3 linked regions of the Drosophila melanogaster genome follow. The protein of the gene in region 3 interacts with the protein of the main gene of each other region in a biochemical or structural test. Each region holds a gene or a part of one and is shown on either strand. Other genes may lie near its edges.

Region 1 (4,754 bases), on a different chromosome or scaffold from region 3:
CAAAAGCCAACGACAGGGAAAAGGAGACAGGAGGCCACCAGACAATTTATGCGAGCCTTGGGAATTGTTTCGAAAATTGACAAATTATGGTCGTAAGTGCTGCGATTAGTCCGTTCCGTTCCATTCGCCTTTTCGTTTGCTATTTTTGCCAACTGTCCCAAGGTTGTCTTCCCAAAACCACAATGTGCATTACATTTACTCACAGAACAGTTGCAGAAACGGGTTTATGGCATCCATAACATTGCGGGCACTGCGTGTTATTAATAATTCAATTTAGCTGTCTCAGAACAGACGACGGGTCAGAGAACTCTGGAAAGCTTGAAGCACACGCAACTCCTCCTATACCTTCGAATTCCCAATGCCGTGCCCATTTACCGCTCAGCCTTAGCAGTTTTCCCGTTCCATTTCCTCGGATCACAGCTCATTATCTATTCATGCAAAAGCTCATATAGTGGAATAATAAATTGAAATTCGACGGGCACCTGGAAACAACCACAAATACCCATTCGCGCTATTCCAACATCCTAGAATCGTAATAAAAAGTACACGATTTTTAATTGGTTTTTATTTCTAAATTCATCGAATGTTAGGAAAGGATATGCCTGGACTTAACTGCATCAGACTTTTTCCTATCTCAGTATTGCTGGCAAATCCGTCGGCGCTTGTGGCGTTCACTGGTGGTGACCTTGCATGCCTGAAAGGACACCAATGAATAGTCTTCATAACATAAAAAATATACGTACCATCCGGCGGTATCGATCCTTTCTATTCTCCGAGAGCCTGGCCCACGCTTTAGCGGCCTTTGCAATTAATTCCCGCGGTTTCAAGTTACAGTGCTTCTTTCGGAAGGAACGCACAAAATTCAAATAGGCGTTGTTAGTGACAGGTCCCTGCTTGCTGCACTTCTGCCTCGGTGCACACTTGACCTTGGGCCGAGTCGCCTTGGCACAGGCTGCCTTTCGGCGCGGCTTTGCACAGGACTTCATTGGCTTACATTTTTGAGGTGCTCTCCTTATTGGATGATTACACATTTCAGTGAGACCTTTAGGACTTTCATCTTTTGCAGAAATGGAAATTATGCCATTCCACAGGCTCTTGCACTCATTTACATTATTTGAACTCATCGTAGAAAATTTTTACAAACTCTGAAAAGAAAAGGAAAGGGAAGTTTTATATGGGATTTATTTGTTGTGTACGATGTCAGCCATCAACTGTGATGGAGTATGTTCCCCCCGCATGTGAGTGTTGGCCCCAGAAGCCGCAGAGTTGCGTCCTAGAGAAGTCACTTAATCAGTGAGCAACCCGAGTCTCAAACCAGAAGTAAAGCCCAAGCCCTACCGACCAGGATGAAGATCTGAACAGCAGGAGACAAGCGGTTGCAACTGCAACAAAGCCCATAATTAATAACAGTTGCAAGCTGCCTCCCGACAACCGACGTTTAGTCACCATGTGTGGGAGCCTAAGTGGCGGTTCTTAGCCAAGACCAATGAGTATTAAGAACTGGTTATATAATTGTCATGGAAATCTACAGTAGTTTGTAATGAAAATTAGTACCCGACAGCAAATGGGCAGTGGTAAATAATTAATAGAAGGACTCTCCAAGGATAAAAAAGCTAAACCAATATCTGTATAATTCAAGATTACTGAAGTTTCCTCAAATCCGAGCAATTTATTTGCCACCCACAGCTGATATTTTGGGCTTGACAAATATTAATTCGAAATATTAATTTGAAATCGTTATGGATGTGTACAAATTACAATTTGTGACCAGCTGTGCCATCGCACCACACTGCCTGCATTGTCTATCAAACCCCACTGAACACCCAGTTGGAATACAAAATTCGCTTTAGCTAGAGAGCTTCATTGAAGGCCCAATATGCTCCTTTTGGCTCTTCGAACTTAAAATTATCTTGTGGATCAATATAAAAAAAAACAGCACGAGTTGAATGGATATTATTGGGGCTTCGCCGGGAGGAAGTTATCTTCAAAGCTATTTTTCTTCAATGAAAGGAAGCCTTGATTGATTAAGTGCTAAACTAGATTTAAAAGCCAACGAGGGCAGGTAAAACTAAGTAGGAACCGACAGGAGCTGAGGGCGTCGAGTGATTATCATTAGCCGCCAGAGTAGTTGCCATTTAGCACGCACAACGAGATGAGTGCCAGCAACATCAGCAGCAGATGCAACAATGTTTGAGTAATTGTTTGCCGTTGCTGCAGCGTCAACAGCAGCACAAGCAGCAGCACAAGCAGCAGCAACTGCAGATGCAACAAAATTTGCATGCAAGCACAAGTCCCTACTCACCACCCCTTAGCCCAAAACCCCACTCATTGCCCCATTTGGCTGCACACGTAACTGAACGGTGGCAACAACTGCAGCAGTAATTGCAACAAACAATTAGCGTCACTTGGATTTATGTTTACGAGCGGCTGCCTGGACATTTTCGGCCACAATGACAGTGTGCCCCCTGTCTACTGCCCTTTTATGGTTGTCAACGAGCAAAAAGTTGATCAATCAGGACGTGTAATTTATTTACAATTTCACTCTGACAACGAAAGAAAGAACTAAGAGTTTCTCTTCACATTAACTCGATCTTTCTTTCGGCCGAACCGCGTGAACCGCTATGATTTATTTAATTGCCCGCGCTTGCTGCCAGTGTTGTTGCAGCATGTAAATGACGTCATTACAAGGCGTGGGGCGTGGCAAGGTGGTTGCCTGTCGACAGACTACCCCCGGCATTAGTTTAAAGCCAGATAGGAGGGCCACATCCATCCGATATCGAGGCAAACACGCCACGTCGACAGTCGACATTAATTTAATCGCATCACAATGCATTTACAGAACTGAATTTCACAAAAGCTTCTTTAAAAGAAATTTTTGAAAGTAAAATTTTTTCAAATGAAGTTTATCGAAACTGATTGGCATACCAATAAAAAATAATTATGCGCTTCGTTTAAAATAATTTGTATGGTATGTTGTTCTGTAAAAATAAATTGTAATTCGTTTTATTTCACTTACCTTTATAAAGTTTTTTTTTTTAAACCAAATTTTTGTCACAACTAATTTTTAAGAAGAGCATAAAAATAAGACTTTTGGAAAAATTTTGCTTGTGAACTGTTTGTGTACCAAGTTACAACTAATGTTTAAAAAAACCGACTGCCCGGTATAAGGGGTATACGGCAAAACCTACGCCAACTATATGGAATAAAGTTAGATTTGATCGAAACGACGCCGGCGGATACGCATCCTGGGAAACATCCTTCTGTTAGGTGGTTACGCCCCCATGTTTCCCTTTGCCAGTGGCAGTGTGGCAAGTTTTCCTCATAGGTGGCATAAATTATGTGAAACAATTTTTGGGTATTTCGATTGTCTCACAACAGACGCCTGGTCAGAGAACTGTGGAAAAGCTTGAAGCAGAAGCCTATCCATATCTTCGAATTCACCATTGCCGTGCCCATTTACCACTCAGCCGTTTCATTTCTTTGGATCACAGCTCATTAGAAAGCTCATATAGTGGAATAATAAATTGAATTTCGCCGGGCACCTGGAACAACCACAAATACCCATTCGCGCTATTCCAACATCCTAGAATCGTAAAAAAAATGAAACCCGGTTTTTAATTTTTTTTATTTCTAAATTCATCGAATGGTATCAAATCAATGAAAATATATGCCTGGACTTAACTGCATCAGACTTTTTCCTATCTCAGTATTACTTGCAAATCCGTCGGCGCTTGTGGCGTTCACTGGTGGTGACCTTGCATGCCTGAAAGGACAAATTAATAGTCTTCATAATATAAAAAAAAAATACGTACCATCCGGCGGTATCTATCCTTTCTATGCTCCGGGAGCTCGGCCCACGCTTTAGCGGCCTCTGCAATTAATTCCTGCGGCTTCAAGTCACAGTGCTTCTTTCGGAAGAAACGCACGAAATTCAAATAGGCGTTGTTAGTGACAGGTCCCTGCTTGCTGCACTTCTGACTCGGTGCACACTTGACCTTGGGCCGAGTCGCCTTGGCACAGGCTGCCTTTCGGCGCGGCTTTGCACAGGACTTCATTGGCTTACATTTGGGCGGTGCTCTCCTCTTTGGATGATTACACATTTCAGTGAGACCTTTAGGACTTTCATCTTTTGCAGAAATGGAAATTATGCCATTCCACAGGCTCTTGCACTCATTTACATTATTTGAACTCATCGTAGAAAATTTTTACAAACTCTGAAAAGAAAAGGAAAGGGAAGTTTTATATGGGATTTATTTGTTGTGTACGATGTCAGCCATCAACTGTGATGGAGTATGTTCCCCCCGCATGTGAGTGTTGGCCCCAGAAGCCGCAGAGTTGCGTCCTAGAGAAGTCACTTATTCAGTGAGCAATCCGAGTCTCAAACCAAAAGTAAAGCCCAAGCCCTACCGACCAGGATGAAGACCTGAACAGCAGGAGACAAGCGGTTGCAACTGCAACAAAGCCCATAATTAATAACAGTTGCAATCTGATTCCCGACGTTGTTTTGTAACGAACAAAAAGTTGATCAATCAGGACGTGTAATTTATTTACAATTTCACTCTGACAACGAAAGAAAGAACTAAGAGTTTCTCTTTAGATTAACTGGATCTTTCTTTCGGCCGAACCGCGTGAACCGCTATGATTTATTTAATTGCCCGCGCTTGCTGCCAGTGTTGTTGCAGCATGTAAATAACGTCATTACAAGGCGTGGGGCGTGGCAAGGTGGTTGCCTGTCGACAGACTGCCCCGGCATT
Region 2 (3,563 bases), on a different chromosome or scaffold from region 3:
TGTGCCTGTTGCCGTCTCCGGCGGGTAACGCGTCCGCCGGCTAAACCAAACGATTGGTCAACATTCGATGGCGATGATGCCGTCGATGTGCCGCCACCGCTGGCGCCACCGGCCGCCCCGCCAGCCACCTTAATTACCTCGATCTCGCGAAATAGCCGCTTTAATCGCACCTGTCGCATCTTCATTTCGATGGTGCGATCGTTGAACTCCTGGATGCGCTCGTACTCATCACGCAGACGCTGCAGTTGGCCATTCTTCTTGCTCTCGTTGAACATGCGACGAAAGTAGGGCGTCGATTTGATCTGATACGACATGATGGTGTGGTTTCTACTCTACCACGGATTATGGATTGGATTTACACGAAATTTGATTTTTATTTACTAACGAAATCCGTACAATTTGGATGCGACCGAAATGTGCGTTTTGGATTTGATTGAATTTGTGCTGCGGAATGTTTGGGATTTTTTGTTTTTCGTGTGTGTGATCTCAAGTTTGGTTAGCAAATGCCAAATGTTGCTGGAACCCGAAATGACATGACCACGCAGCGCCTACTTGGTTAACAATCCAAATGCTGTGGGCAAAAAAAAAACAAAGCTGATTCCATGTTAACATTTAAATGTCCAGAGTGGTTACAATAATTTATTGATCGAATTGCTTCTTAGTGCCTGAATCTTAAAGCTAAATGGGCGGGATTATGTGTCGCAGACACGCCTCCGCGCCACAAATCATAGCATATAAGTAGTAGTAGTAGCATAGCATATATCATCTGGTCACTGCTGTTGGCTGCACTGCATCTCCTGCTACCCACATCTCGCGCTTACAAGCTAAACATCACATGAGCATACACATAACATCGAATACATAAACGAACACAAATGAGGCGAACATGTTTAAAAGATGAGTTAAATAAGTAAAAAAAAAAAGATGCGCTGCTGATTGCTAATTGCTGGGCAGGATTGCTGCTTACGCCTTCACCAGCTTGGCCATCATGTTGGTCAGCTTGTGCTCGTCGGCGCCGGCAAAGGAGGCCAAGCGTCGATTTTGGCGCAAAAAGACAAACGTTGGCATGCTGCGCACCTTGTAGCGCTCCGTCAGCTCCTCGAATTTGTCCACATCGATCTTGAGCACCACCGCCTTGCTGGAGTATTTTCTGGCCAGCGATTTGACGGTGCTCTCCATTTCCTTGCAGGGACCACACCATGTCGCATAGAAATCCAGCACGATTAGCTTGTCGTCGGCCGCCTCGATGCGCTTGTGATAGTCGTTCATGGTGCGTACGGATGCCATTTTTATGTCGCGAGGATTAGCAAAGTGTTTTTCTTCTTTTTTTTAAATTAAAGAACTTGACGTGATGGGGCTGTTGGCGCTTTCGCTGCAAATTGTGAACTGATTGAAATGGCGGCTGCGTAGGCGACTTTATAGGGGTCTCCAAGTGGCGGTGTGTAGAGTGGAATTCCCGCCAATTTGCATGCTGAATTCTCGCGTGGCCGCTAAACAAAATGGCGGCCCATGGAGAGTGCAAAATGGCGGGCGTGTTAGGGTTGCCAGGTCGTTGGGAAAGCCAACCGAGTGTGTTGGGGGGTGGGGAACATACTTATTCACCACGGCAGGTCTATCGATATCGATATGAATATTATTATCGTAATTATGGCAAAATAATGGCGTCACACGACATAGTACTAATATTTTCCTCGAGTGTTGCCATAGCCGTGGTAGGTTCGAAGCCAAACTCACCTCAACACACCGCGCCGCTGACATTTGAAAACACTTTTTTTTCAATCCAAGAAGGCCGCAAAATATTTGGCGAAAACTGTATAAAAGAACGCCTGCCGCCCTACAATTTTCATTTCGGGCTGATATCTCGGCGAGGGCAGAGCTCCATTAAAATTCAAAAGTAACAAAACAAATCAAGTGAATTTTACACCCAAAACAAGATTTTCTAACATTTTCCTTTTTTTTTTCTTTCTTCTCTTCCCATTTTTTTTTTTTTTTGTTTCGTTTCGATTTGCAATCCGTTTGGAATTTAGTTAAAGTCATGGTGTACCCAGTGCGGAACAAGGACGATCTTGACCAGCAGCTAATCCTCGCCGAGGACAAGCTGGTGGTAATTGATTTTTATGCAGACTGGTGCGGACCTTGCAAGATAATAGCACCCAAGCTGGACGAACTGGCGCAGCAGTACTCGGACCGTGTCGTCGTACTCAAGGTGAACGTGGACGAGAACGAGGACATTACGGTCGAATACAATGTGAATAGCATGCCCACTTTTGTGTTCATCAAGGGCGGCAATGTGCTGGAGCTCTTCGTTGGCTGCAATTCCGATAAGCTGGCCAAATTGATGGAGAAGCATGCCGGCGTTTATACCGATGAAGCGGCCGACGTTAAGGCCGTCCATATCGATGGCGAATGCATTGTCGATCTGACCGCCGAGTCCAGTGAAAGCGACAACGACAACAACAACGTTAATGAGGTGTCCGCCCACGACGAGAATGCCGTTCTGGAGCACTAGGCAAAAGTACCATTACACTCCGAACATAACGACAACATATGTATGTAAGTACGATTGCCGGAGTGCAAGCATTGTGGTCACATAACCGATTCCCTGCTCCTTCTCCTGCAGCTCATCATTCAACAGACGTAACGGAAGAAAGCAATAGATATATATATATATATATACATAGACACACACACACACACACACACACACTTATCGATGTATATATATATATATATATATATAATACACACACTTATCCCAGATTTATTATGCACACTCATAATACTCATCATTTGTGGTGCCTAAAGTATGATGATTGCATTACAATTGTAAGCCTGATGATGTTGTTACGGCGGAGGAGGACTACGTCGCTGAACGATTCTACATATAGCAAACATTTTGGGAATCCGAGGACTTGTGGGACTTACTCAACACACGCTCCCGCACACCAAACTGATGTTGATTTTGCAGCGAGCTTGATACACCATGCAGACTGAGCAAAGGGACGCTATATATATATATATATATACTACTATACACCATATACTATACACTAAATGGAAATATGTACAATCGACCGACATAAATAATACGCATTACTAGCTGTTAGTTATAAGTTTGCAGACAAACAAATAGATCTACACAATAAACAATCAACTATTCTATTCTATACTTTTGCCTTTAAGGATCTTTGGGCGAAATGGGATATGGGAGGGATATGGGCATATGGAATACTCGTAGTTTGTTTGTTTATATCGATTTATTCTATAGTTTAAATTATTATTGGAGTTGCTGGAACGCCCGGCGACTGGAGTTGCGTTCACTTCTTGGCGAACGTTATCTTCATGGCGTGCGTCGGCGTAATCTTGAAGCCCTGCAGCGCCTCCTTGGCGGCATTGCTCTGCAACTCGGTGGTGAACTCCACAAAGGCGATGTCGTGACGATTCGGCACAAGACGCACCTCCTTGAAGCCGGGGAACTGATTGAACAGCATGGACAGCATCATCTCGTTGGTCTCCTCGGGCAGATTGGTGAGGAAGAGGATCTGGTTCGGCGGCTGCTCGGT
Region 3 (3,978 bases):
TGGTCGCAGTTCTTATTATTGGTCGTATAAAAAAAAGCTTTTTAACGAAATATATAAAATCCATCTTAATGACAAAGTATGACATTACATGGCCTCCACGCTGATAATCCTGCTTATTGTGAAACAATAACACATATAGGTCGTACATTAATGGTAAATCCCATCGCCCAATAAACAGATCGGAGTACTTCCCCAAGAGAAAGGTCACTATTTCAACGATAAGGTGAGGCAATCTCACCTATAAAGAGGAGCATTAAAAGCTGCAGCACCACAATCTAAAGTTAACTTGCCGTTAATCAAGATGCAACTGCTGCCAATCCTCGTGCTCCTCGCTCTCCTCATCTGCGCCGCCTGCAAGAACCACGAGGACTGGGGAGGATACCGACCAAGTGACTACGATCCCAGGCCATATTTCCGGCAGTTCTAAATGATCACGAAACTCAACCCACAGGAAAATCTTTACGAAAAATCGATGCAACCATAGAAAGAAAATAAACAAAAAAAAAAACTAGGGAATTAACGTTGTATTTGTTAAAAACCAAAGCGAAGCTGATGCCGAAAAGGGTGAATTATTGGCAACCGTTTCTATAGTTTTATCTGAAACATGTATGAATGTTTTATGGCTTAAAAACTAAGTTTCACTGTCACAGTTAAACCAAAAACACAACTAATAAAAACTGTTTTAGGTGATGAAACTGCGACAGCAGACAATAGAAACTTAAAAACCTACACAACTTTATGCTTTAAGATTAAGTGGGACGAACATTCACTTGCCACCGGCAGTGAATTTGGAGAGCTTTTCCAGCAGACCAATGTAGGAAGTGTGCTCATGGGCAGTGGCTAGGTCCGACAGTTTTTCGGCAAACTCCTGACTGATGCCCTTCTCCTCCAGCAAGTTGATCAGCAAGTCGTACAAGTAACCGTCAAGCACGTCGCCTGCGACGGCGTAGACCTTATCGTTCCACTCGCCCTCGAAGATGGCCATTTCATCAATGGAGAAGACATCGTCTGAAAGGTAAAACCTGTGTTATCGGTGAATCAAAACGATTTCTGTCAAAGTACTCACTGTACTCGCCCTCCTGAGCTTCGCCTTGAAGGAAGCTGCAGGTAAAGGACAGCGTAGAGTTGCCCTTTATGATGTCCACCTCGAACTGGGGCTTGCTTCTCATTTCACCGAGATCCGGCTTGTCAGCATTGGGGTTGATTTCGGGCTCCTCCTCGCTGTCCACCGTATGGTTCACATTGAAGCTGACCACCACCTTTTCCTTATCCGTCTGCTTGGTGAGCTCCACATCGGCGCCGGTCAGTTTTACGGCGAATCCATCCAGGGTGCTTGGCACCGTCTTGCCCTTTTGAACCTTGCGCTCGGCCACTATCTCCTCGGTGAGGAACTCCACCAGTTCCCGCTCACCTGGATATAAACAAAGCGTTTAATTTTCTGTGTTTTGGTCAACATTTCGTCACCCAACGTTTGAGGTTATGTAACCGGCGGCATGGACCGCCCATGTAAGAATTTGTTGAGTTAACTTACATTTGGTGTGCACGTTGCAGCCGCACGTGCAATTAATGCTGGGCTTGTGGAGATTCAACACGGTTACATGATCGGATCCTCCGGCTGTCACCGGCTTTTTGGTCATGTGCCACAGGCTGCGGGTGAAATCGCGCTTGCCGAGAGATCCGGCACTGGAGCTGGCCAGAGCGGCAAATCGCATGGTTGCTGTCCTTAGGCTGTTCATTTTGTTATATAACCGCGACCTGGGCTTTTTACTTTAATTAAACACTGAAATGTGCAACACGCCAAAAGTGTAGTGCCTGGTGTGACCGTTGAATCTTATTCAGAAAATCACGAGGCTGATGTATTGTAGAGCCATATCAGAAGTTATCGATCATTTTTCGGCGCGAAAGGCTTTATCGTAAACTATTCAAATTTTGAAATTAGCCTTTATTGGAAAAATGATTGATTTCAATAAATATAACCAAACCATATTTGCTGTAAAAATTCAATGTTTCATAGATCCGAACCTATTAAAAGACCACATTGAGTTATGAAAAAAATGACGACTTTATTAGATTTACGAATTGCTTATCGGATGTATACAACAATATACACATTACAAGGACATACACAGTAATAAAAACTAAACACCATGAAGGGTTTTCTCTGGTTCTTGATCCTCCGAGTGGAAGACCCATTCCTACGCAATATTATCATGCATGCAATCAGACTCGTTCGTCATATATATCATTGTTTTTCAACCAAAAGGCATATCATTTCATCTTTCTAAAATTTCAATAAAATCTATCACAATATGAGAAATCATTACATTACGTTTTTTTTTGTAAGATTTAAAAATATTTTATATATAGCTTTTATCGGGATTTTCCATTTTTAAGACTTTCTTATGTTAAGATTTAGACATTAGGCGTACATATACGTATAAAAATATATTAATTACGATGAAAATTGCATTTTACACGTTTTAAAAATAAAATTGCCATTGTACATTGTATTTATGCAACTTCTTTAGTGGGACGGACAACAGCTTAGAAATTAAACATAAAATTATTAAAATGCTGATTTACGTTGATTGCCAACCAAGCTCATTATTTCCATCCAAAGCTTACAAGTTTAGCGTTAAGGCCTAGATTCGACACGATTTTATACTATTTATAAGGCTTGCTGTTGTTGCAGTGTTCATTTATTTTCGCTTTCTTGTGCGTTTTTCCATCTGATGATGTGGGGGCTGCGGTGTCAGTTCTTATCAAACAGCCTCATAGAAGTTTTCTTCGTTTCTTAGCCTAGTTCGTACTTTTAATTACATTCTATGTTCAATTCCTTATAGAGCTTATGTTAGATACAATTTTACGCTTTTGTTAGCCACAAAGCATAGAGCTTTAAAGTCTCTGTCGCATTCTGTTAGTTCTCCACAAAACAAACTCATATAGAATAATTAATCATTCAGTCTAACAAAATACTTGTTGAATATTCGATTGAATTTCGAGAAATAATTGGGGCTGGTCCGCTTCGGGTTCGATTTCGGTATGCATGATATGTGATTAAATTTGTACAGCTCTAATATTTGCACTTAAAGATTATACATTAAGAGTACACATAAGGGGCGACACAATCGGGCTGCGTAGCCAAGAGCCGGCACTCCTATTTTGGACAGCAAAGGTCGACGTCAGGGGAATGCGGAATGCTTCGGGTTAGCTCCAGGCTGCGGCAGCCCGCACACTACGTTGTCAATAAATTTAACTAAATTTTGACAAAGAAACTAAGCTTACGCAAATTTTACATCAAATTAAATTACAATACAAGCTAAGTAAAAAAGACGCAACAGCTCTGCTTCCTATCTTTCGGATGCGTTTCAAACGCATCCGAGACTGTCGTTTACATTATTCGCAAATTGGGTGGGGGGTTACTATAACTAACAGCAACATAAACAACGAAAATATGTTTTAGAGTATAGAAATTCGACTAATTTTGCAGTTGGCTGCCCTCACAAGGCCACTAGATGTAAGTGCGTTTCACTTTTGTCAGCGTTGACGTTTTGCAGGGCAGCTCTTTTTCCAAATGTTCCGTGGAGTTTTTGCACTCATGACTGCGATCCTTTTCTAAATCCAGATTAGGTGTTTTTTGTGTGGTCGTATAGGCATTGGAGCCCATTAACAGGTTGATGTCTTTGCCAGTATTTTGATGTTTAAATTGCCTGTCAAAACCATTTAATTAGAATTGTCCAATATGGATTTGCATCTTCCAAGATAAAACTTACATTGGCTTGCCGAAATGATTGCGGTGACTTTCATCCATTTGGGCCTCCATCAGGCGGCTCTTAGCCTTCACACAGCATATTCCTGCGATTCCACCCACAAGGAAGGTAAAGAAAACGATAGTTGTAAGTAGCATGAAGCTGGGCGTTGAAGCATATTTGATTTCATCTACACTGGCCGTAGACTTTTGGGGATCTGTCAACGAAA

Evidence for each region.
Region 1: of the proteins of P32 (region 3) and ProtA, one has a biochemical effect on the other in vitro, tested with the Drosophila melanogaster proteins (one study listed by BioGRID).
Region 2: of the proteins of P32 (region 3) and dhd, one has a biochemical effect on the other in vitro, tested with the Drosophila melanogaster proteins (one study listed by BioGRID).

The regions. Positions count from the first base shown.
Region 1 is NT_033779.5:14,878,495-14,883,248, forward strand, and holds ProtA (protamine A), read right to left. Parts: upstream 3,159-4,754; 5' UTR 3,017-3,158; intron 1,146-3,016; 5' UTR 1,125-1,145; coding exon 744-1,124; intron 695-743; coding exon 635-694; 3' UTR 556-634; downstream 1-555. Other genes in the region: ProtB (protamine B), read right to left, coding at 3,710-3,763, 3,813-4,193.
Region 2 is NC_004354.4:5,310,184-5,313,746, reverse strand, and holds dhd (deadhead), read right to left. Parts: upstream 1,577-3,563; 5' UTR 1,288-1,576; coding exon 964-1,287; 3' UTR 625-963; downstream 1-624. Other genes in the region: CG4198 (uncharacterized protein), read right to left, coding at 1-314; TrxT (thioredoxin T), read left to right, coding at 2,036-2,509; snf (sans fille), read right to left, coding at 3,318-3,563. UniProt on the Drosophila melanogaster protein: Participates in various redox reactions through the reversible oxidation of its active center dithiol to a disulfide and catalyzes dithiol-disulfide exchange reactions. As a reducing substrate of peroxiredoxin 1, thioredoxin 2 is preferred over thioredoxin 1.
Region 3 is NT_033778.4:17,670,799-17,674,776, forward strand, and holds P32 (P32), read right to left. Parts: upstream 1,843-3,978; 5' UTR 1,737-1,842; coding exon 1,532-1,736; intron 1,412-1,531; coding exon 1,067-1,411; intron 1,009-1,066; coding exon 767-1,008; 3' UTR 511-766; downstream 1-510. Other genes in the region: IBIN (induced by infection), read left to right, coding at 302-427; Sema1b (semaphorin 1b), read right to left, coding at 3,512-3,710, 3,774-3,966.